4 linked regions of the Arabidopsis thaliana genome follow. The protein of the gene in region 3 interacts with the protein of the main gene of each other region in a pairwise test. Each region holds a gene or a part of one and is shown on either strand. Other genes may lie near its edges. The genes, in order: AT2G23200, GAMMA-TIP, PAP3 and AT1G36050.

Region 1 (6,419 bases), on a different chromosome or scaffold from region 3:
CCGTATCGGCACCCTGGAGATCTTTTCGTCACACAAGCTCAACGGCTTTTTATCTGTCCGTAAAGATGAGATCCGACACTTGTTATTGCGCCTCTCAAAAAACTCGCAACATGTATGTGAGCTTCTTCTACATATCAAAACATTTTACTTAGCCAGAAAATATTATAACCTATTGATTTGTGATAGTGCCGTCACTGTTTCATTATATAGGTTTATACTTGGCCATGTGCATGTGCAAAATGTAGATTGTAGACGCCAAAAATATTCTATACCAAATGAAGATTGTGAAGTATGATTTTGAAAGTTTGAGGATTAATCATTTGTTTATGTGATTATAATTAAAATCAGGGTTTTGCAAAGGTTGAGATGAGACAATTGTTTTATGATTTGACTATCAACAACATTCTTCGAATGGTGGCTGGGAAACGATTTTATGGAGAGGGGACAGAACAAGATGAAGTTGCGCGGCGAGTGACACAACTGATTGACGAGATTGTGTACAGGGCTGGCGTTGGGAATGCAGCCGATTATATACCGATTTTGCGTTGGATCACAGATTTTGAGAAAGGGGTCAAGGAGTTGGCGAGTCGGGTCGATGAGTTTTTGCAGAGTCTGGTGGATGAGAGACGTGTGCATAAACAAAAGGGTAACACTATGATGGATCACTTGCTTTCTCTCCAAGAAACTCAGCCTGATTACTATACAGATGTCACTCTTAAAGGAATCATAATTGTAAGTTTGAGGAATTCATATACTATATGTAACAACACTAATCAAACTTTATGATAGCTTATTATTGATTTTAAGTTTACAGGTTATGATACTTGCCGGGACTGAAACATTAGCAGGGACTTTAGAATGGGCGATGCTTAATTTGTTGAACCATCCAGAAGTATTAGAGAAAGCGAGGACCGAAATCGATACCGAAGTCGGTTTTGACCGGTTAATGGATGAAGCTGATACTAAAAATCTGCCTTATCTCCAATGGATTGTGTTGGAGACCTTACGTCTTTACCCGGTAGCTCCAACAAATATTCCACACATGACGTCAGATGATTGCATATTGGCAGGATACGACGTTCCACGTGGGTCGATGTTATTGGTGAACGTATGGTCCATGCATAGAGACCCGTCTATATGGGAAGCCCCAGAAATGTTCAAGCCAGAGAGGTTCAAAAATGAAAAGCTTAATCAGAAGTTGTTGTCGTTTGGGTTTGGACGACGAGCTTGTCCCGGGGTTGGCCTAGCTCATCGGTTAATGAGCTTGGCTCTTGGATCGATGGTTCAGTGTTTCGAATGGCAGAGAATTGGTGAAGAATATGTAGACACTAGAGAAGAACCTATGGCCATGATGCGTCCTGCGACACCGTTGCTAGCCATGTGTAAAGCTCGTCCCATTGTCCATAAGTTTCTCGATGCTTTTGCTTGAAGTGTAACTCTTCTTTCCTTGACTTGGGAATAAAATATGTAGTAAAAAAACTTATCATGTCAAAAAATCTAATAGTATAGACTGACCGTTTACTAGGTCAGTGTTGGGGAGCCAAAGGTAAAAAGATTAGAGAGTGATTGTTTCTCACGGGACAAAAGACGATGACTTCAAAAGTCAACTCCAGTCTTCTTTCTTTTTGTTCCACCAATAATTTCAATTCTCTATTTCTCCTTCAATCTCATCTTCTTCCTCAATCCAGTCTTCACATAGACCACACATGTTTTTTCATCCATTGACCTCAAAGACTTGACTTTCTCTCTTTCTCCTTCTCTGCATCAAAGCTATGGAGAATTTCTGTTTTCAAGACTCTGTTTCTCTATTTATCACGATCATGGTTCTTGTTCTTCTCCCCCGTCTCAGTCTTTCTGATACTTCGACGTACACCCGTCCTGAGAATTTTTACGTCAACTGTGGATCGGATTCTAATGTATTTTATGGTGGCCAGACCTTCGTCGGAGATACCAACTCGAGTACTAACTCAGTTTCCTTCACCAACAAAGGAACTGAAGTCATCAACGACCAATCGTCCGTTGCGCCTGAAATATACCGGACGGTTAGGATATTTAGACACCCTTCTTCTTACAAGTTCAAACTTGATTCTCTGGGTCTGCACTTTGTGCGTCTCCATTTCTCTGTTGTGTTTTCTCGGGCAGATCTTTTAACTGCTCGGTTCACTGTCTCTGCTACCTCTGGTTCTAATCATCACTTGAAAAGTTTCTCGCCTCAGAATCTCACTAATACCCCACGAGTTGAAGAGTTTCTCCTGATGATGAACTCGCTGGAGTTCGAAATTCGATTTGTGCCCGATCATTCCTCTTTAGCTCTCATCAATGCCATCGAAGTGTTCTCTGCTCCTGATGACCTCGAAATCCCATCAGCTTCCGATAAGAATCTGCATACGATTTACAGATTAAACGTAGGAGGCGAGAAAATCACTCCGGATAATGATACCTTGGGACGAACTTGGCTGCCTGACGATGATGACTTTCTCTACCGAAAAGATTCAGCGAGGAACATTAATTCAACACAAACGCCTAACTACGTGGGAGGGTTAAGTTCAGCCACGGACTCCACTGCTCCTGATTTCGTCTACAAGACAGCTAAAGCAATGAACCGTAGCTCGAATGAGCAGGTGGGGATGTTGATGAATGTTACATGGTCGTTCAAGGTCAAAAGTAACCATAGACACTTCATCAGGATTCATTTTTCTGATATTTTGAGCAACTTATCAAACTCCGACTCCGATTTCTATCTCTTTGTAAATGGGTATTGGCGAGTAGATGTAAAGCCTTCAGAGCAGCCTAGGTTGGCGAGTCCGTTTTTTAAGGATGTCGTGAATGTCTCTGATGGTTCTGGACTCTTGAATATCAGTATAGGTACCAAGGAGGCCAATAAGGATGCTGGTTTTCTGAATGGTCTGGAGATGATGGAGGTTTTGAGTAAATCTGGTTCTGATTATTCAAATAGAAGCAGTTCCCGGGTTCACATCATCACTGGTTGTGCTGTTGCTGCTGCTGCTGCATCAGCTTTGGTCTTCAGTTTGCTGTTTATGGTATTCTTGAAGCGGAGGAGATCGAAGAAGACTAAGCCAGAGGTTGAGGGCACTGTATGGTCTCCTTTGCCATTGCACAGAGGTGGGAGTTCAGACAATAGACCTATCTCTCAATACCACAACTCCCCATTACGCAACCTACACTTAGGCTTAACGATTCCCTTCACAGACATTCTAAGCGCTACAAACAACTTCGACGAGCAGTTGTTGATCGGGAAAGGCGGGTTTGGCTACGTTTACAAAGCTATTCTTCCCGATGGAACCAAAGCCGCTATCAAACGAGGCAAAACCGGCTCAGGACAAGGGATCTTAGAGTTTCAAACCGAGATTCAAGTCCTCTCAAGAATCCGACATAGACACCTCGTCTCGCTAACGGGATACTGCGAAGAAAACTCCGAAATGATCCTCGTCTACGAGTTTATGGAGAAAGGTACACTCAAAGAACATCTATACGGCTCGAATCTACCTTCATTAACATGGAAACAAAGACTAGAGATATGCATTGGAGCAGCTAGAGGTTTAGATTATCTCCACAGTAGTGGCTCAGAAGGAGCAATCATTCACAGAGACGTCAAATCAACAAACATATTACTAGACGAGCACAATATAGCAAAAGTCGCAGATTTCGGATTATCGAAAATTCATAATCAAGATGAAAGCAATATCAGCATAAACATCAAAGGAACATTCGGTTACTTGGATCCAGAATATCTCCAAACACATAAATTAACAGAGAAATCAGATGTTTACGCATTCGGAGTCGTCCTCCTCGAGGTACTGTTCGCGAGACCAGCTATAGATCCTTATCTTCCTCACGAAGAAGTGAATCTATCGGAATGGGTGATGTTCTGCAAATCAAAAGGTACAATCGATGAGATCTTAGATCCGAGTTTGATAGGTCAAATTGAGACGAATTCGTTGAAGAAATTCATGGAAATTGCTGAGAAATGTTTGAAAGAGTATGGAGATGAGAGACCGAGTATGAGGGATGTGATTTGGGATCTTGAGTATGTTCTTCAGCTACAGATGATGACGAATCGTCGAGAGGCTCATGAAGAAGATAGTACGGCGATTAATTCCGGTGGTTCGTTGGTTGCTCCGAGGTTGATGGTGAGTGATTCGTTTAGTACGAACTCGATATTTCAGAATGGTGATGAATCGAAGAACAGATTTGGATTTACAGATTCATCGGAGACTCGAGTTTTTTCGCAGTTGAAGATCTCTGATGCAAGATGATGAAATCTTTCGCAATTGTGTGTAAAATTATAATTTTTTCGAAATGTGAAGTTTCTAGCAGTATCTGGTTCAATTTCAAAATTTAATATCCGGTTATTTCCGGTTAATAGATAATCACAGTCCGTCTATAGGGTATTTCGAAGGCTAAACACTATTTTGGTGTTAAAATTACATCATTTTTAACGATTTTGATGTCGTTGATGAACAAGTCCAAATTACGAGCGAGGGATCCACCAGGCGCCATCGCCGATCTCGTCGCTTGCTTCAACTCCGCCGCTCTCCTCCTCATATCCGCAGCGTCGGTACCCTTTGTCACGGCGTCAATGCATCTCTCCACCTCAGCAACCTTAAGCTCTCCATCGACGACATCGTTCTTCATCCGTACTCCGATTCCAAACACATCAACAAGCAATCTCGCGTCAAGCGGCTGATCAAACCAAGTCGGATACGCCACCATCGGAACACCACTCACCACCGTCTCGATCGTCGAGTTCCATCCACAATGAGTGACAAAACAAGAGATCGCCATATGGCATAGTATCTTCTCTTGTTGACCCCATTCAATAACAACTCCTTGACCTTCTTCAACCATATCTTCCAAAACGTCAACGTTTTCGGCCTTCTCCTTTGGCCGTATCACCCATAGAAATGGAACTCCTCTGTTTTTTAATGCTGTCGCTATGGTCTCGACTTGATTCTCTGATGATTTGAGTATGCTTCCGAAAGATATGTAAAAACTGAAGACCTAACTTGTTTGTCAAGCCACTCCATACAATAATCATCAGCTTTCCACATATCTAGGCTTTTCCCATCTAAGATTTTGTCCTCATCAGCTCCCAAAAGAAATGGAGAAACAAGAGGACCAATTGGGATAATAGGTTTTAAATCAAACATCGATTCAATTATAACCGATTCGAGTTCATAAAATGAATTAGCCAAAACCCATTTAACATCTTTCAAGCATTCGACGAATTCCGCCATTAGTGTATTGAAGATAGCACCGTGAGAAGGTAACATCAATGTCGGGAGATCTCGGACTTCTAAAAACGGTAAGCCTGGTAACTCCACTTTTTGATTAGGATCTTCGAGATCGGGGAAAGAGTTTGTCTTCATGTAGTAACGGTAATAAACTGAGAAACCTGCACAAGCTTCAATCCAGAGGATTGCACAAGGAATGTTATGAGCAGCTGCAACAGCTGGAACCCATGGAGTAAAAGGCACAGAGATGATGCAATCAAATCTCTTTCCTTCGATTATTTTCGAAAAGTTATTGGCTCCGACTTTTCTCAATGACTCTGTGAGAGGTTCGTGGTCTCTTGGATCGTCTTTAGGCAGACCATCAGAGAAGAACACAAGATCCACCAGGCTATGGGGTTCATCGGTGGATGAGAGGAGGTCACGGGCTGATTCAATGGTGGCGAGAGTGAAGTGTAGGTTGGTTCGTGCGAGATGTTTGGCGAATTTGAGCATTGGATTTAGGTGACCTTGGAACGGTAATGCTACCATTAGAACGTGTGTTTCTTGACCCTCAATACTTCCCATTTTTTTTGTATAGACTTTTAGTAGTAATAATTCTTTTTAATAGTAATTTAGAGGTATTAGACTTGAATTTCGTATAAAAATTATGAGTTTTAATCTTAGTGGTATATATAACAATTGTTCTTCAACAATATTAAGTGAGATTTTTGTAATATATCATTATGATTTGCTAACCCAATATATAATGGTCAACAGATTTAAAATTATGATTTTCTATATTCTTGTAAAATTGTTGTGGCAAGAAATCATGTTCTTACCAATTTCTAGCATAATTATGTCAACAGCCAGCTGCAAAGTTATCTTATTAACTAAAATTTTATATAATACAGAAGTGTGAACTTGTTTCAAATTAGTTAAAAAGAGTGTATATTGAGTACAATTTTCTAATGATATTTAATAAAAAAACATTGTGTTAAAATTTTAAGAGATTTTGTCATGTGATTATTATTATTCCTTATATATATATTATCCTTTATATATTAATTGAGAAACATTCTTAATAAAAACTTACTCTTATATGTTATTAATGAAAATGTCATGCTGACATGTTGTGTTCGTAGAGATTTGTAATCTATTTCATTCATTGTCTAACATTTACTAGAA
Region 2 (5,319 bases), on a different chromosome or scaffold from region 3:
GTATGTATGAAAAGTTTATGTTTAGTTCATGTGACCGACCTAGTCTAATTAATAAAGGAAGAACTAGATTTGTGGCTTGTGAGAGAGCCATATGATTGATAAGGACCATAATGGTTTGGTACGAGTTATGAGTGTACTCTTATTATACTATTCACTCACAAAAAGGTTGATGAGAAATTACACATTTATAGGGAAAAGGGAAAGAGAAACCTACAAAAACATTAGGTATAAGTTTCCAAAATGGCACATGGGTATTGAATATTATATCGAACATTCTAGATAATATCATATAATATATAATTTTGCCAAATTATACAACAATATACATATATTATAATGAGTCTAAAATGGCGTAAATAAATCTTCAGATTATCTCAAAATCTAATTATAGAAAATGGTGATCACATTTGAAAGATAGTTACTCTAATGTAACGAAGCATATTTACCTTCAAAGTTACAATGTTCTTGTATAGAAAACATAACTTATTCGGAAGATAATATGTCGGCAATTGCACCAGTGTACGATTCTGCTAGTGGCGTCGACCGAAGTTTCAAACTCTCCTTGATCAGTAGAAGAAAAGACAATGAAATTGTAAGGAATTGGTACAGACGTTTTCACGTGCTTCTGCCAATCCGTATCCATTTGGCCAAAGATTTTGAAATATCTCTAAAATGCCAAAACCAAACAGGAATTCTAATTTTTGTTATAAAACCCGAAAATGGTATCGGACAAACGAAGACATTAGGCAACGTCAAACTTAGCACCTCATCGAATCATGTCTTGATTTTGGTCGGACCTGTTTGACAAGTATGGTTGAGACTTGAGATCTCTATTGCAAAACAATCTTACTGCTTAAAATAAGTAAAAGGAAAACAGATTAATCTTTCTCATTGGATCTTATTTTTCTAAATTCACACCCTTTGCAAAATGCAAATACAAAGCAACATAAAAAAAAGAAAAGCCGTATTCACTATTGAGTATTGATTGACTAGTAACCCTCACTGACTGACCCCTACAATATCATTTTATTCCCTTATTGCAAAACGCCAACCATTCCAACTTTCAAATTTTTACATATACATATGGTGAATTTAATTTGTCTTCTTCTTTTTTTTTTTTTTTTTTTTTTTTGTTAAAGATATGGTGAATTTTGTTAGACGTAAATAGATCGAAACTTGTATCAAATTCTAGTTTTTTTAAAAAATATATATAATTATATATCATATTTTTTTATTACTCATAATTTGTTTACTCATTTCTTATAAATTCGGTCATAAATAAAGTTAATGTGTAATAAGACTGATGTGGAATTTAAAAGTTTGACAAAATGGCAAAAAGAGATATTGCAACACTTGAAAACTTAAGATGAGATTGATACATAATTCACATTATATAGTCGAAATTGCAATGGCCACTCTTGAAACCAACGGACAAGGATTCATCTAAAAGATCGAACGATCATAAACCCCTTGATGATTCGAAATTACACAAACGGAAATTAAAAAGACATTAAAATTCAAATTCAAAGTCGAATAAAATTACACAAGAGAGAAAAAGAGAGATTAATTCAGTAGTCTGTGGTTGGGAGCTGCTCGTGTGTGGTGTTGATGAAGAAAACTTCGTAGATGAGTCCAGCGATTCCACCGCCGACGAGAGGTCCGGCCCAGTAGACCCAGTGGTTGGTCCATGTCCAGCTCACCACCGCTGGTCCGAAAGCCACGGCGGGATTCATGGAGGCTCCAGAGAAAGCTCCTCCAGCTAAGATGTTGGCTCCAACAATGAAACCGATTGCGATGGGAGCAATTGTTCCAAGACTCCCGTTTTTGGGGTCAATGGCTGTAGCGTAGACGGTGTAAACAAGCCCGAATGTCATCACGATCTCGAAAACGAAAGCGTTCAACACTCCTACTCCAGCAGAGAGACCAAAAGCCGGCACAGCCTAAAATTTTCAAAAGGTTAATTAGTTACTTGACAAAGAAGTTAGGTCCAAAAAGAGATCTAATAAAGGGCTAAAGGGTAGTTTGACATACCAAGCCACCGGTGGCGAATTTAAGGATGAGGCAAGCGACGACGGAGCCGAGAAGCTGAGCAATCCAGTAGAGGATACCACGGAGGAGAGTGATGTTACCACCAATGAAAGCACCGAAAGTGACGGCAGGGTTAACGTGTCCACCAGAGATGTTGGCACCAACTGAGACAGCGACGAAGAGTCCAAAGGCATGAGCCACTGCAGCAGCTACGAGACCAGAAGGAGTGGTGGCTCCGTTTTCAGTGAGCTTGTTGAAAGCCATGCCAGAGCCTGAACCGGCGACGACAAAGATCAAAGTTGAAATGAACTCAGCCAACGCCGCCTTTAAGGCATCGGGACGGGTGGCTTCATCTGGACGGCCAATGGCGATGTTTCTGATCGGCATGATCGGACGGCTGAGATTTAAGCTTCAAGATGCTAGAAGAGTGGGAGATGGATTTGATGATTTTTTCTGGTCTACTATGTGCTCTTACTTATATCTGAGGTGGCGCCATTTTGGTGACCGGTTACCGGATGATATATTATTAATATTTGGTGGAGAAATTATTTGATTGGAGCGGTTAGAGATTTAAATAATTTTGAAAACAGGCTAAACAAGTACATCGCTATAATTCCAGCGAAGCGGAACCGACCAATCTACGTGGCGGATAATGACTTGTCATGTTTGTACATGTATAGAGCTTTTGTCCCTTTTTCATATTCTCTCTCTCGAATGATCGATAGTTCTAGAGGAAAATAATACGATTTTATTCTTGTTTTTCTCCAACTATTTTGCTAAGAGGTTTTTACTTGATTAGTGGTAGAATTTAGTCTTGATATATGTGTGGTAAAAATACTCAACTGAGTATACGGAGCAAGCTCCAAAACAAAAATTATAACTAAAGATGGTTACTAAAAATATTTCATATCTAATCTATAGTCATTTGTTTCTTCCTTACTTATAATCTGTCGTTGTTTTTTTGTTATAATGTCGTTGTTTTCTCTTGGGTCTTTATTCTCGAAACATAAATAATTCTGTGTAGATAAGTCACGGCTAGTTTTATGAATTTGATATTCGTATAGTGACATTACATGCTAACCATAAGTTATGATATTTTTTTATATTATCGCTAAGTAGAATTATGTAGCATAAATGATATTCAATGCCAAATCACTACGCTTTATTCTAATCGCAATTCTTTCAACTCGCTCTCCAAGTATACGAGAAAATTATAAGATGTTATCTTGTTTGTGGCACCAATTTTTCTGTGATTATATATTTATATTGTTTGTGGCACCAAATTTTAACATTCGAGACAATCTCACATTTTTTCACAATCATACAGAAAGATTATATATTTATTTTAGCATTTTATTTTGTGGGCCAATTATCTATTGGGCAAAAAGTATTGTGTGACGGCCCTCCACTTAAGGAAAAATAATAATTTATGAATGTCCTACCACCACGATGCAATCTGTCCCTTTTGGGCGGTTTAGGTTTACAATTCGGCTGAGAGGTACTGCCAGAAAGTGATTAATTTCCAAACAAAATTTAAAATGTCATATTATTTATTTAAAATAATAATAAATAAAAGACGTGATAATTTCGTTTTTCTTTTGTTTAATTTGATCTTTTTTTTTTTTAAATATAATACTACAAATTTTAACAGTGTGCTAATTTTTATTTATTTTACAAGCCTTGACAAAATAGTTGAACCATTTTGAAGTTTTTTGCACAGTTCGAAGTTCATACAACTGATCCAATTTTCTTTATATAAAAACAGAGCCCGCAGATTTATATAAATTGGAAGGGATTAAAACGATTGCTTTTTTTTTTTAACACATGAAACATGAGTCGTGTGTGTGTAGAGAAAATTATAATACGATACCAAACCAACTTTCCTATCAACACGGGACAAATTTGATATCTTTTTTCTATCATCTCTTTCAAACATACTGTGACCTGTGATTGATAAACATGTGAAACTTTTCCTTTGATGTAAGTCGTGTGATTTTAGAACTACCTAGATTGGGGTGGATTGTTAGGTGGATGATCCATTGTTTTTGCCTTTTTGGGTGGTTCACATAATGAACATTGATGGTGCACAACATCAACTGGCATGAATACTGCGTACAATCACGAACGTTCTAGTGACAATGTTCCAGTATTCTTTTACCAACCACATGTACGTACTTCTCAAAAACATAGCTAGTAGCCGAAGTATTTTCAAAACGCTAGCTAATCATCGGAATTCCTCATATATTTGGTGACACTTTATTGATTGGTGCATTTCCTTGTTGACTTTTTCTCCTTCTTATTTAAAACTTGATTGAGAACAATCATTTTTGGACCGTTTACCTTACCTTTGTATAACTAACTAAGATTTCAAAGCATTAACTATCTAAAAACGTTGAAAGAAACCAACCGTATACGTGGACATAATTAAGTCGTTCAGTTTTATGAACGTTACTAATCTGACGTTTTGAACCATGGTTTCTATTTAAATCGAACCATATCGTACACATATTTTTAGAAAATAATTCAAATTTTCATTACATAAAAAACTAAAAACATGAAACTGATCCATAAGGACCATATTAGTTTTGGTGCAATAAGCTATTAAGTTTTTTTCCTTATAAATAAAACTTAAAAATATGTATTGAACAAGTGAAAACGATTTTTAATATTTTTTTTTGTTTAATGATTAAAAAAGTAGTAAGCAAAAGTTAACTAAGACATCATCATCTTACCGAAACTATTTTTTTCGTTAATTATGAAAATGATTAGGTTTGGTGAGTTTGGGCATATTCTCTCTCTTTCTCAAGTTTGTGAATTGTGTGGGGTTGTGGTCGGTGTACTATTATATTCAAGTGCTCCAAATTAAATCATTGTTAATTTGTATTGTTAAACAAACAACAAAACTGAAATATTTGGACGATATGATGATAAATATGTTTTTTTTTACTATGAGAATATTGTGATTTTAGAAAGAGTATTATCTTCACTTCTTTAGGCAGCTAGGCAATTTGTTACTTGTTTAGTCTTGCAAAAAAAACGAGATAAGGGGCACGAATCTCTATGATATAATATATAAATGATAATCAATGAGGCTTTTTTTTTTGTCGAAATAATTGTACAATGTAATGTCTGAGAACGTACGTACGTTGATAGATTCGTCGTTGCTCCATTTTGTTATTTGTTTAAAATTTTAACTTTTAAATCTTTACAAACAAAAAGATTGAGAGCATATAAATTCTTTTAAATAAGTTTGGTTAAATAGATAATTTATTTATTTAATTTGAACTGAAT
Region 3 (6,267 bases):
TTGGTGGAAGGCAAATCCGCAAATCTTGCTAAGTATGCAATTCACGCAACCCGAAAGCAACGGATACTCATTAGCTTCATCAAATCTAAACCGAGAAACTCTAACTGGGGACCACCGCCGAGCAGATCGCCAAATCAGCACATCCGTCACCCAACCGGCCCACCTAAACACTACCCTGTTGTTATCCCGTCCACTGGTGTCTTGCCCACTCCGTCTCACCGCCCACCAAACGGAGCTGTTCAACCGATTTTCATCCCTCCTTCTCCTCCACTTGCCTCTCCAATGCCGTTCCCAGGTGGTGTACCAACCGGGCCGCCTGTCTGGCCACTGCTGCCACCTCATCCACGACACCAGACAGCACCACAACCTCGAATGCCCATCCCAGGCACTGGTGTGTTCCTCCCACCCGGTTCAAATCAAGAACTGGCTGACAACAGCAACGGAACAGAAGGAAAATTAGATTTGAAGGCGAAAGAAGAAGCTCGTAACGGATTTGGTGAAGGGGAATGCGATGGCAGTAACGGTAAACAGAGCAATTAGTAGCTGAAGAAGAGAAGATAGAGCAAAGAGAGAGAATAGTTTTTGGGAGATGAAATCTGAGGTGCAGTTTACAAACTGTTAAAAGAGCGGTGAATTCGATGAAATGTCGTTTTGTTTTTGCCACTTGAGAAATTATTTTTAGGAGAGTCAAAACAAGGAAAAGTTACCCGTTTTCTACTCTCTTCTCTAAAATCATTCATCTATATCCTTTCCTTTCTATTCAAATTCTATCTCTGCCTCGTTTCGACTGAATCATAATATCTTCTTACACATGCATATATATATATACCTTTGTTTTTCTCCAAAGTGTCTCAAGATTCTCAAGAAAGTTACTTTTTTTTTTTCTTCTTGGAATATTTTTTGGGATTCGAAAGCTAAGATATGAAGCCTTTATCTCTGTTGTGTGATACAAGTTCAGCTGTGTGTTCGGTCCCATGGTTCATGGCAGTGGCCCATGTCTTCATTCCTTTGTCCACTCTATTAAGTCTCACCAAAAGTAAAATAAGATAAGCCTTAATAGAATGACTATTATATTTCTTTTGGGAGATAATTTTGGTATGAGCAAAAGTGTTCTTGCGATCAAATATGAGAGATCCGGGGCTTGTGAAATTATGTGACAGAATCTCATCCACAACATAGAGTTGTATATCATTTATCTTATCATATAATCCATAATTCACTATAACTTATCTATATATATTACATGATTGAAGAGAATCTGAGCACAGGACAAAAGACATGTAACAAAATCATTATCTATCTTTATAGATGAGAATCGGACCCATTTTGTGTCCCTACAAACTACACAAGAGTACTGTATGCACGCATGCTTCGGGAAAACTTGTTAATCAAATTGGATAAGAATAACGAAAATTAATTAACTTAATTAATATGGAAGCGTAAGAGAGGATGATATTTACATTTTAATATGCTTAGATTCGATATGTATATACAGTATATGCATGCAGTATTTCTAGTTAATCTCACATCTTACAAATTTTCAATAATATCTTGTTTGAAACTGTACTTTTACGCAATAAAGATTTCATTGACTTTTTTTTCTGATGCTGCTGATATGTTCTTGTCATATCATAATGTGATTCGAAAATTCGACGAAGTACGATATTGATAATTTCATAGTACATCGATCATAAACAATTACGTCCGATTAAATTGGAATCAAGAAGCGAAATAAAGCGCCTCCTTGTAAGTCTTCTTCCAATGATGCAGAACGTGTCCAAAAACATCATAAAAGACTACACGCAGTTCAGCTTCTGAAACGTGAACCGACATGAAACCTTGTCCGTCGTAGTAAAACCTCATCTCTTCTGGTTCAACGTAGTTCACGTCACCTCCTTTCCAGGCCTTGGATCCACCTCCACTTGTCATAAATTGTATGTTACTATATGCAACCAAAAATGGTGACATTTTATATCCTCCCGTACGTGGACCCTTACGTTACAATAATTGATTAATAAGAAAATAATTAACGAACAAATAAATAAATTTATTCTACCTGTCCACGCTGCTTATGTGCTCTAAGCAATGATCATGTCCGTTTACGTAGAGATCCACTTCATTTGCCTAGTAAATCGAGAACAAAAAAAACAGATTTAATTAGATAGATTTTTTCTATTGGTGCATAAACTTTATTATATGAATGGAATGGTTTTGTTACTTGGAGAATAGGTAAAAGGTGTTTCTCCAACTCAATGGTGTTCCCGTGGTGGCCTGCGCTTTTGATCGTATGGTGACCAATCACTATTTTCCACTTTGCGACTGACTCTCTCAACGCCACGTCGAGTTCCTATATTATTACATTATAGCTTTCGTTAGTCACTCGCTCGTAAAAAGAAAAAAAGTTGCATTGGCAGATTGTTCTCTAATCATATCGCATTACATACCTAATTAAAACGCGATTCCATTTGAAAATAGACAAAATAAAAGCTGCGTTTAACATCCAATCATAACTTTATAAAAAAATCCAATCATAACAAAAGAAAAAGGAATGTTTTGCCCAAAACACGTATATAATGACGTTCCTAAGTTAATATTAATTCTATTTCGACGAAAAAAGAAAGAAAGGAAGATTTACTTAAAAAATTGTTACCTTTAAGAGATTATTCAGATATGTTTGCCTAGGTAATACACCGCTCCAGTCATAAACATGCTTATTTGGTTGAATAAAGTATTTATCGACGAACGGAGTTGTGTCGACGAAGAACAAATCGACGATCTCTGTTCAGTTAACGAAATTAACAAAAATAAAAAAATAATTGGAGGATTAATAAAATATTTCTAACTTTTGAAGAAATATTATATAGGAGGAATTACCAGCATTTACAATGAAAGATCTCATGCAAACCCATCTGTTGTCCAGAGCTCTGAGCATAGGGCTAAGTTGTGCCCTGACGTCACCTCTATAATCATGATTTCCTAAAACTTTAGGTTAAAGAAAATGTAATTAACACATTGAACCACATATCGTTTAATAATTAAGATCCAACGACGAATGTACACATTGAACCACACATTTACCACTATACCAAGGTTTCTGCAAGCTCGGAGCGGTATAAATGTTGGTAAAAGAATCTTGAAATAGAGGATCGTGCAAGCTGGTTAAACCATTGTCGTAAAAATTATCTCCAGTAGAAATCACAAAATCGATATCTAATTTCTCTCCGATTTCTCCCATCTGTTTAAATTTCGTGTGAAATAATTTAGCATAAAATAACTAAAAACAACAGTATAAAAGAAAACATCAAACTAGCATAAAATTTACCACATTGAGTTCATCTGCAAAACAACAGTACAAACAAAAATCATATGTAGAATATCTTCGTACACTAAAGCTGTTTTCTTAACACAGACCGAATCTTTCAAGTTCCTCTAACATGACTTTCTTTCTTTTTATGGTATCTTATAACATGGTGTTCAAGAATTAGTAATATATATTGAAATTGAATAATAATAATAAAAAAAAGAAAAAAAAAGAATAATATAAAAACATAAGGGCCGGCATTAATATGAAGACCAGTAAATTTGATCCTCATATCACGTATGCTCTTGAAGGCATACGCATATATATGTTTACGTAATACGTATTAATTATACACTATTGAATTTGCATTATATATTTATATATATGCGTACAGGCGAGAAATATAGTAAATAACTTGTAAATGAAAATAAGAAGTAACCTGAAGAGCTACTTGGGACTGATTATAGGAGCCTCTTCTTCCCCAGTCTCCGATAACGAGAAAGCTCACTGTACCATCGGTTTTTGATGGCTGCAGTAGCCTGCGGAGCTCCGCCGTGGAACTATGGGAGGAGAATATAATAATCAAATTATAAACGTAAAATACCAAATTTACAGGTTTGTGTTTTAAGGTAGCCATTGAGAGATTAGAAAAGCAAAAGAGGAAGAAGATAAGGAAAGGAATGGTTGATTTTGTTGTGATCTTTGTGTCTCTATATATGTAGGTCATTTCGAGGTTGATAAATATGAATAAAAATTATTTGCCATTTTGAGAAATGTAGTCCATTTTTGTTTTCTATTTCAATCTTTTGATTTGTCAATTTTATTACAATAATTTGAATCGGTAATTTTTTTGTCACCCACTTTTTCAGATATTTATCAATAACGAAATATAATGACAAGATAAATTTAAATAAAATAAATAGCGGTTGAAAATTAGCTGTTGAAATATTTTAAACATAAAGAAATTGGATATTGACAGTTTAAGGATATTTGAAAATTTCTATTATCAGTGAAAATATACGTAAATTTCTACTACATTTTTATTTCTAACATTATACATAAACATATTATCTAAATTTGGATTATGACACATCAAACAACAGTATGCATACAAACTATTATTACACCGTGAATTCTGATCACACAAATTCTTTCTAAAATCGCATTTTAAAAACAAAATATACTTGAAAAAAATAGAAATAAAATTTACGAAGCTCGGGTATGTGCGTTGTCATACAAGAAGAGTAGAAGACAGCATAAACGCCCATGCCACAAATTTGTCGGAAATTGCAATTATTAGCTTTGAGTCACATTATTGATGTGAGTCTAACGAAAACTTCCAAATTCTCTCAATTATTGTTGACCGTTAGTTATTTTACAGTATAGTTCTGAACATAAAATAATGTGAATAGTTTACTAAATTCGTTCAACATATTAAAGAAAAATCAAAATCCCATTTATACAAAAATTTGAAAGTATATCCTTACTGGATATGAGAAAATAAATGCAAATGGGTTGGCCTATGTTATTGGGCCGATACCCATTTCTCTAATGAAAAGAAAGATCTATAAAAACAAACTTCTGCTTCTCGACTAGGACATTAATTCTGAGGTATGACTATGAAGGTATCATATTATTTTGTAATTCTTGGCCAAAACTTGTCACCTGTGTGTTTGTATGTTCTTACAAAAGAGAAAACTAATGAGCATTAACTTCTGCAACGTTTATTTTACATGTTTGGTCTTATTGCTGATTCAGTCTAGTTCGTCGAGTATTTTGAAAACAACTTGAGGAGTTAATCAAAAGAAACAAGCTTAATGTGGTATATATGTTCCTTACGACTATAGTTCCTATTAGTATGATGTAGTCAGCAAGATTGACTTATGATGACTATAGAAACTTCACTGAATATCTCTGGTGGTCCTAGACAGTCACAGTGTCCTACTGTATCTTTAGTTTGGTTCGCCAAGTCTAGTATCGGACCGTATAGATAGAGAGATGTCAATTGTGTTTATGTGTTTTTTTTTTCTCTCTGAAGCAAATTGATTGATCGATTTGTCAGCAATTCCTTTCGAGTCAAAAGTTTTGACCAACCAGCTTCTTCGTGAAACTCTCTAGCTGTATTCACACATACACACACACACCTAACAAAATTATTGAAACAGTGGGTTTGATGTAAAGCCTAAATCATTCAACCACCTCTCTCTATTTCTTTTTTGTTCTTTTTTTCTATGCAACATATGATTATATATTAGATCCATGTGATATTGCTTGAGTCTTTAATTTAAGGCTTTATAAATAGAACAAATATAGGCCTTTTTAGGTCAACACGTGTGTGTGGAAATGATGCTAATGCTTCCAAAATGAAACAGAATAATGTCGTCATGAGCTACTCATTTACAAGAGGATTGTTTTAGTGTTGGATTGGCTAATAGACTTGGATCGATATCTATAATATAGACCATATATATAATATGTTTAGCCTAAACAATGATATATATGTCATGTGACACTTATGTGTTTTAGCAATCACTAAAATAATGCAAACATTAATACATGTAGGTGAGTTGTGAGTTCAAATAATATTAGTCAATACTCAATAGTCACTGTAATTGATATTTTGAATGGCTTATCCTATGAAAATTTAGTACTTTCATAGAGAGAAAAAAAAAACAAATGTTAATCTAAAGACGACAATTTAGATTTTAGCAGTCGCACCAGAACTAGTACCAGGAAACATAAGATAATATATACAGGACTAGCTACTTCATTATCTTTACGTAGTTTATGACAAAGATTGTTGTATAATCTTCATCAGCTGACTTCTTTATTTATGAATGAAGTGGTTAGAACTCAACTTGTCGGCTAATAATTCAAGCAACCCAACACAATGTTTGGGATTATCCTGTTTCTGTCTTCTTCTAAACTTTCTAAAGTAAGGCTGCTTGTTCTGTCAGTACGTGTGA
Region 4 (7,232 bases), 8.4 Mb from region 3:
AGCCTTTGGTTTCTATGTTTGGTATGGAATATTGCTTGGCTTGTATTGTGGTCTCTACTCTTTTGCAGATTACTTGAGGTGTCACACTCAAATAAAAAGGGGGAGATTGAAGAAACAGAGTGTCTGAAGTTCTACAGGCGTGTCTGAAACAACACAGAGCAGAACAGAGGAACAGAGGAAGCGGGAAAGTAGCAGTTGCTTTTGCCAGCGTGGCATGTTGATTGGAGTGAAGGAAAGGCGTATCGCTTTAGACAAAGGAGACGAAGTCGTCAGACATAGGACGTGTGCCTAGTGTCAAGATAATGATGAGGAGCTACACTTGAACCTGATGGATAAAGTAGAGCATCCTGCCTTTTCCGAGAAACTACATAAGAGAAGTTTTGGTCTCTTATTAGGGTTAGCCACTTTACTTGAGAAAAGTGGAAGAGAAGAAAAGTTAAATAGAACTTGTTCTTGTGGTTTCATTGGTGAGTGAACAAAGAGAGCACACGGCTGTTGCTGTGTTTGTGAGCTGGGTAGTTTTAGGTTTTGACAAGAGCAAATCAGGTTGTTGATGTTGCATAACACTGTCCAAACTTATCTGTGATTGATCAGTTTGAAAGTTGTTCTAATAAAGTGTGTTTATTGGAGTTGTGATCTTTATCTTGTCAAAGTACTTAGGATTCTTTTACTTCATATGTTAGATATAATATTTTGCTTAATTGAATATATTTTACAATGTTCATAAGCTATAAGATCATTATATGATGCATACGTTTTATCCAACCATATCTTCACGTAACCAACTTCTTCTCAATTACCTTAACTGTTCACATGTTTATATATCTAAGCCCATATTTTTAGGTGTTATACATATATATATTTATTTACTTTTTGAGGATTCTGGAAAATTGAAAGATATGATACAACAGTTATACGATATATATATTGAATTTAAAACTTTAATAATTATAATTTTAATAATTTGAATAGACACTGTAAATATAGTTTTAGTCGGACAAACCTTACTCAACATTCAATACTAATCATATACCAAAACATAATTGTTTTATCTAATTTAGAGAAAAGAAACATGAAGCTATTTATTATCATTGTGGTGACCAGTTTAACCATCTCAAAGGTATTTGACAAAACACTTGTCACCATTGAAGCAAGAAATTTGAGGAAGATGGACCGTCATGAGCATTTCAATGCTAATGAAGATTTCGTGGAAGCAAAAATGTTAAAGAAAATTGACAATAAAAATAATCTAAATAATAGATGTATAAATGATTTTGCGCCTACTAATCCAGGACATAATTCTGGTATTGGGCATCCAAAAGTTATAAACAACAAATTTACAAAAGATTTTGCGCCTACTAATCCAGGACATAGTCCTGGTATTGGGCATCTAAGAGTTGTAAACAACAAATTTACAAATGATTTTGCGCCTACTAATCCAGGAAATAGTCCCGGTATTAGGCATCCATGAGTTATGAATGTTTAAGGATTGTAAATCTTATTATATAAATCTTAAAGAAATAAAATAAAACTAACAAAAAAACAAATTTATATGTCTATATCTCAAATGTTTTTAACTTTTTTTTCTGAACTAAAAGAAAAATTAACAAATTTGTTTTTATATGTGTTATTGGTCAAATAAATTAGGATGTATTTATATTTATTTGAAGAAAAAATTAGCATGTATTAATTTTTTTAAAGTCATTTAATTTATGTGTACAAAATATTATTTTACGGTTTTGGTGGGAAAACGTTGGCTTACAGTTGTTGCGGGAAAACGTGATTTTTAATTTTGGCGGAAAATACTTTTTGTGTGATTTTGGCAAGAAAACACTTTTTGTGATTTTAGCGGGAAAACGTGGTTTTACGGTTTTGTCGAGAAAATGTTGGTTTACGGTTGTGGCGGAAAAACGTAATTTTAATATTTAAACCAAAAACTGAAGTTAAATAGAATAATTTAGTTTTACTAAGGATGACTAATAGAAAAAGAAAAATAAATAGACTTAATTGGATACCAATTTATTTATGTGAAACCTTATTTAATAAATGAGTTTAGTTGGCTTAATCCATTTAATCTCATTTAACTTGTTTTTCCTAAATTAATTTAAATGGGTCAAAAACTCTTACTCATAACCATTAATTAAATAGGATTTGCATACCCAAATTAACATCACTAGTCCTAGACAAAAACCAAAATAGAAAACAATATTTTTATCCATTTTTACTTTTGCTCATCGACCAAATTTGGGCCTAGTTTGCTACAAGCTAACAATTGAAAAGCCTCTTAAGACACATGAAATAGTAACGACGTCGTTTACTCATGAAGCGAAAGACGGCAAACACGAACGGGTTTACGTAGACCGTCAAACGCTCCTCCGTCCGACGGAGAAAAAACGAGACGGTGAAGAAGAAGAAGAAGAAGAAGAAGAAGAACGACTCAAAGATCTCATCGATCACTCTCTCCAAGATCTATTCACGCATCGTCGGAAGAATTTTCGCTTCCGACGACGTTTCTCTCGTCTGATTTTGTCTCCGAACATCCTACCTAATCGTATTCGGTGCTGGATTTGAATCCGGTGAACTGAATCTGACAATTTCGTTCCCGGAGGTGTTTAAAAATGGCCGGGATCTTGAATAAATTGCGGAATCTAGATGCATATCCTAAGATCAATGAAGATTTTTACAGCCGTACATTATCCGGCGGAGTTATCACTCTCCTCTCCTCCGTTGTTATGTTCCTTCTCTTCTTCTCCGAGCTCCGTACGTATTAACAACTTCGCTTCCAATTTTGTGAATCTCCATATCCAGTTTCGTAATTTTGAAATTCTTTGATTCTGTTGTTTAGGTCTTTATCTTCATACAGTCACCGAGACGAAGCTTATAGTAGATACTTCAAGGGGAGAGACGTTACGCATCAACGTAATGTTACTTAATAGTGATTTTGACTTGGTTTGTGCTTATATTTGATTAGAGATGTCTGATAAGTTTCATTGATGATGCAGTTTGATATTACGTTTCCTGCTCTAGCATGTTCGATTCTTAGTGTTGATGCTATGGATATTAGTGGAGAGCTTCATCTTGACGTGGTATGTTTGTAAAATTGGTTACTGTTATAGCTTAGTGAATCTTAGTTTTTGTGTTTGAGACGTTGATTAAGTTTGTTAAATGTGTGAGTTACAGAAACATGATATCATAAAGAGAAGATTAGATTCTAATGGCAACACTATAGAGGCAAGACAGGACGGAATAGGCGCTACTAAGGTTTGCTCTCTGCCATTCTATTCTTTGGGGTTTTGTAGTCATTAGGCTAGGATTAAACTGCAGGCAAATGGCAAATGGCAAATGGAATAGTAGTGTCAAGAATTAAAAGTCGTTTGTTTTTGGGGTCTTTAAAGTCTTATACTTTTTTTTTTGTGCTTGTGTAGATTGAAAACCCACTGCAGAAACATGGTGGCAGGCTGGGACATAATGAGACTTACTGTGGTTCTTGCTATGGGGCTGAAGCGGTAATTGTGTTATCTCTCTATTTGACTTTGTGGAGCATGGTTTCTCAAGTTCATATTCAGATTACTCTTGATTGTTTAGTGCTAGTCAAGAGGTCATAATGGAATAAACAAAAACAGATGTCATAGTGGATTGTTTCTGTACTATATATAGTTATCATTTTCAGGATAGTTGATAGTGCTTTTTCAATCTGGCTTTCATTTATTTATAAGCTTTCATCTGAAGTATGTTTTTTCCCCGTGCAGGAAGAGCATGACTGCTGCAATTCGTGTGAGGATGTTCGTGAAGCATATAGAAAGAAAGGTTGGGGGGTTACTAATCCAGATTTGATTGACCAGGTAAATTGCTAAGAAAAGGTTCTTCGCCTTTTAAATTCCTGGCATCACTGTTTCAATGCGATAGTAGCAAGTTTTGTTTCATTTCTTTCTTCTTGTTTCTTTTTCTTATTCTTTGTTAGAGTCTCCAAGGCTTGTGTGCGTTTTGTTTAGTTAGTATGCACTTGGGAGGCTCTTAACTGAACTATGCTTCAAAGAGTTTCCATCTTCCAACTGCGAGCTGAAATACTTTTCACTTATCTGTTTGTGATTCAGTGTAAACGAGAAGGTTTTCTACAAAGAGTAAAGGATGAAGAAGGTGAAGGGTGTAATATATATGGGTTCTTGGAGGTCAATAAGGTGGCTGGGAACTTCCACTTTGCTCCTGGGAAAAGCTTTCATCAGTCGGGCGTGCATGTTCACGATCTTCTTGCTTTTCAGAAAGACAGTTTTAACGTAAGAAATGACTTGTCCTATTGACTGCAACTCATTCGTTATGCTTCTAATCTTATATCAATTCAATATGTTGCGTCTCCCTGCAGATAAGTCACAAGATCAATAGACTTACTTATGGAGACTACTTTCCTGGCGTCGTTAACCCTCTTGACAAGTAAATAACCATTCTGGTCTATTCCATTCACACACTATTTATTTTTTCATACTCTCTAACGTACTTGAAATTGCAGAGTCGAGTGGAGTCAAGACACACCTAATGCTATGTACCAATACTTTATCAAGGTTTGTTCCAAGACAAACACTGTATCATATACTTCAAATTCGTCTATAAAATACCCGCGATGACTCTATTCTGCTTTGTCTGCTTTCAATAGGTTGTACCAACAGTATACACAGATATCAGAGGACACACAATTCAATCGAATCAGGTGAACCAAGGCTTTTAACTGTTCGACCTCATTATCTATTCATTCTCTTCCGCGTACTATCTTAACTTAAATGTAAAATTGGCAGTTCTCAGTGACCGAACATGTAAAGAGCTCAGAAGCAGGTCAACTGCAATCTTTACCTGGAGTTTTCTTCTTCTATGATCTCTCTCCAATCAAGGTGAGTGTATTTGTGTGTTTTAACTGCAGTTTTAGAGCGTATTTATAGTCATAATCCTAACTAAAATGTGTCGTTTCCGTAGGTAACATTTACGGAGGAACACATATCATTCTTGCACTTCTTGACGAATGTTTGCGCCATAGTTGGAGGTATCTCTCTAATCTCTATATACCATAACAACACTTGTTGGTTAACGCACATTAAAATCCGAAATGAAACATGTAAAAATGCGCAGGTGTCTTCACAGTGTCCGGGATAATAGACGCGTTTATATACCATGGTCAAAAAGCTATCAAGAAGAAGATGGAAATTGGTAAATTTAGCTAAATCCTTTAAGCCTTTTTGGGGTTTTCGTCTCTCTCTTTTTGTTTTGCGGATAATACGATTCATGCTCCAAATGTAATATGGTGTCATTTATTTAATTCTTTTTGTTAAGCTGACTATATAAAATATACATATTGATACGTTACACTCTTTTAATGCAAATTGAAGGATAAGTCTTGGGTTGTGTCAATCCAGCTGTTGACAGCCTCATGCGTGCGTTACAATTATCGTCTTTTGACTTTTTGTCTTTTGAAGATATTATGGGTTTTGAATCTGAAGTTAAGTCTTGAGTCTATCTTTGATTGTAGTGTATGGATTCAATGAATGGAAGAAAAAGAAGCAAAACAGTCTCCATAATAAACGCTTAGAGTACAGAGAATCATTATTAGTATTGACGAGAAAGTTGTTATTAGTGAATATATTAATTCCGATTGCAATATATGTTAGGTCTCGGTTAATACTCGGATTCGAAGAACTGAACCAGAACCTATCCGAAATATCGGTTTGGGTCTGTTTTGGATCCTCTAGAACATTTGATTGGGTCTTGTCTTCATATATTTTCGGTATTGGTTCAAAAAGGATAATACCTGATAAATTAACGGGAACTCGAATATATTTGAAGCCTAACTAAACTCATGATCTCCTTTAACCTATATTGCCTGGTTTGATTGGGAACATCGGGTTTTTCTTTTCGAGTAGTTTGGATAAATTTGAGTATAAAGTAACCAACTTGAACTGTATCCGATAATTTTCAATTCACCCATATCAACTATCCGAACTGATATGAACCCGAAGGTTACCAAACCAATCCCGAACAAAATTTTAAAATACCCAAATAGTACCTCGATTCCTAGTACGAAACCAAAATCCAAATACTCGAGTCGAACCCAAACCGGTACCCGAATGTGCAAGCCTAATATATGTGCATTCTCTCATTCCTTTGGCTTGGCAATTGGTTTCTATATTTGCATGGACACTTTTATCATCCAAGTCTTCCTTTCTCATTTGACAACGTTTGCTCGTAAAAAAAACTCACTTTGGTTACCATTGTTAAACACAAAAAAAGAAATCTAATCTTTTGTGTTAACTTAAAGACTTGATAATTGTTTTACTTTTTTTTTTACTTATTATCTATCACTCGGTCTATTCTAAAGAGAAAGCATGAGAATGTCGTCAACGTAGGCACTTTGTATGAGGTTATCTTTATACCACGTAAAGTTCAATCAAGGATCCTTTTCTTCCACTCTTGTGTTTCTCTTTTGACTTCTTCAAAATAGGACCAAAATTTATAATATTAAGCTAGAAATTTAGCAATTTAAATTTTAAGTTTTCACTATATTGTTCCCTTTTAGACTAATTTACTTTTTAATCATTTCTAAGCTAAGCACAATGGTCCTGTCGCAGAATGGAACTTCACGATTCTAATGTGTTACAATATATTCATAGTAGTAATACTAACCATATTCATTTCAATTAAGAGAAAAGAAGAAGGGTCTACATGGTACGGCATGAACAAAAAAGCTTGAGCTGTCCATAATTTACACACTTGCATTACATTCATACAAAATGCTAAATTACAAATTTTACGCACAGCTAATAACCCTAAAGTTTAAAAGAAAATACAAACAAGTTAAAATGAATAAAAATGAATTGAATCCTAATTTTTCACGATAAAATTGAAGCCCAATCTATCTCATAAGAAGGACACTTGCCGAGCATGAAATTTTCATTCCATGGCATCTCTGGCTCTTGGCACATCTCCTGCACCATAACATCCGAAGTCGGTGAACCCGACCCATCACTTTCACCCGACCCGGAATGTTGTTGTGGCGCTGACGGCTGCTCAGCTGAAGAAGCCGCGGCTTTAGCTCGTTTCCTCGACGTCCTCTCCGTTTTGCCCGGCTGATTCTTCGGCTCAGCTAATATGGCTTCTAGTTTAGCGTCTACGGCAGCTTGAATAGGACCATATTCGCCGGTATCAGACGGAGACGAGCCGGTTTGGTATCGGAGAGCTGGGAAGTTAAGCCG

Evidence for each region.
Region 1: the proteins of PAP3 (region 3) and AT2G23200 interact in a protein complementation assay, tested with the Arabidopsis thaliana proteins (one large-scale study listed by BioGRID).
Region 2: the proteins of PAP3 (region 3) and GAMMA-TIP interact in a protein complementation assay, tested with the Arabidopsis thaliana proteins (one large-scale study listed by BioGRID).
Region 4: the proteins of PAP3 (region 3) and AT1G36050 interact in a protein complementation assay, tested with the Arabidopsis thaliana proteins (one large-scale study listed by BioGRID).

The regions. Positions count from the first base shown.
Region 1 is NC_003071.7:9,877,579-9,883,997, forward strand, and holds AT2G23200 (Protein kinase superfamily protein), read left to right. Parts: upstream 1-1,696; 5' UTR 1,697-1,772; coding exon 1,773-4,277; 3' UTR 4,278-4,346; downstream 4,347-6,419. Other genes in the region: CYP81D7 (cytochrome P450, family 81, subfamily D, polypeptide 7), read left to right, coding at 1-112, 349-732, 815-1,429; AT2G23210 (UDP-Glycosyltransferase superfamily protein), read right to left, coding at 4,956-5,819.
Region 2 is NC_003071.7:15,442,586-15,447,904, reverse strand, and holds GAMMA-TIP (gamma tonoplast intrinsic protein), read right to left. Parts: upstream 2,612-5,319; 5' UTR 2,416-2,611; coding exon 2,032-2,415; intron 1,941-2,031; coding exon 1,569-1,940; 3' UTR 1,284-1,568; downstream 1-1,283. UniProt on the Arabidopsis thaliana protein: Water channel required to facilitate the transport of water, diffusion of amino acids and/or peptides from the vacuolar compartment to the cytoplasm. Does not promote glycerol permeability. May play a role in the control of cell turgor and cell expansion.
Region 3 is NC_003070.9:5,056,441-5,062,707, reverse strand, and holds PAP3 (purple acid phosphatase 3), read right to left. Parts: upstream 4,126-6,267; 5' UTR 4,029-4,125; coding exon 3,741-4,028; exon of another isoform or gene 3,323-3,740; intron 3,236-3,322; coding exon 3,079-3,235; intron 2,983-3,078; coding exon 2,875-2,982; intron 2,779-2,874; coding exon 2,651-2,778; intron 2,348-2,650; coding exon 2,219-2,347; intron 2,125-2,218; coding exon 2,057-2,124; coding exon of another isoform or gene 2,053-2,056; exon of another isoform or gene 1,943-2,052; coding exon 1,720-1,942; 3' UTR 1,568-1,719; downstream 1-1,567. Other genes in the region: AT1G14710 (hydroxyproline-rich glycoprotein family protein), read left to right, coding at 1-540.
Region 4 is NC_003070.9:13,447,849-13,455,080, forward strand, and holds AT1G36050 (Endoplasmic reticulum vesicle transporter protein), read left to right. Parts: upstream 1-2,355; 5' UTR 2,356-2,618; coding exon 2,619-2,760; intron 2,761-2,845; coding exon 2,846-2,919; intron 2,920-3,002; coding exon 3,003-3,086; intron 3,087-3,180; coding exon 3,181-3,261; intron 3,262-3,425; coding exon 3,426-3,506; intron 3,507-3,749; coding exon 3,750-3,842; intron 3,843-4,094; coding exon 4,095-4,274; intron 4,275-4,360; coding exon 4,361-4,428; intron 4,429-4,504; coding exon 4,505-4,556; intron 4,557-4,648; coding exon 4,649-4,702; intron 4,703-4,787; coding exon 4,788-4,880; intron 4,881-4,962; coding exon 4,963-5,029; intron 5,030-5,115; coding exon 5,116-5,193; coding exon of another isoform or gene 5,194-5,207; exon of another isoform or gene 5,208-5,512; coding exon 5,513-5,835; downstream 5,836-7,232. Other genes in the region: AT1G36060 (Integrase-type DNA-binding superfamily protein), read right to left, coding at 6,870-7,232.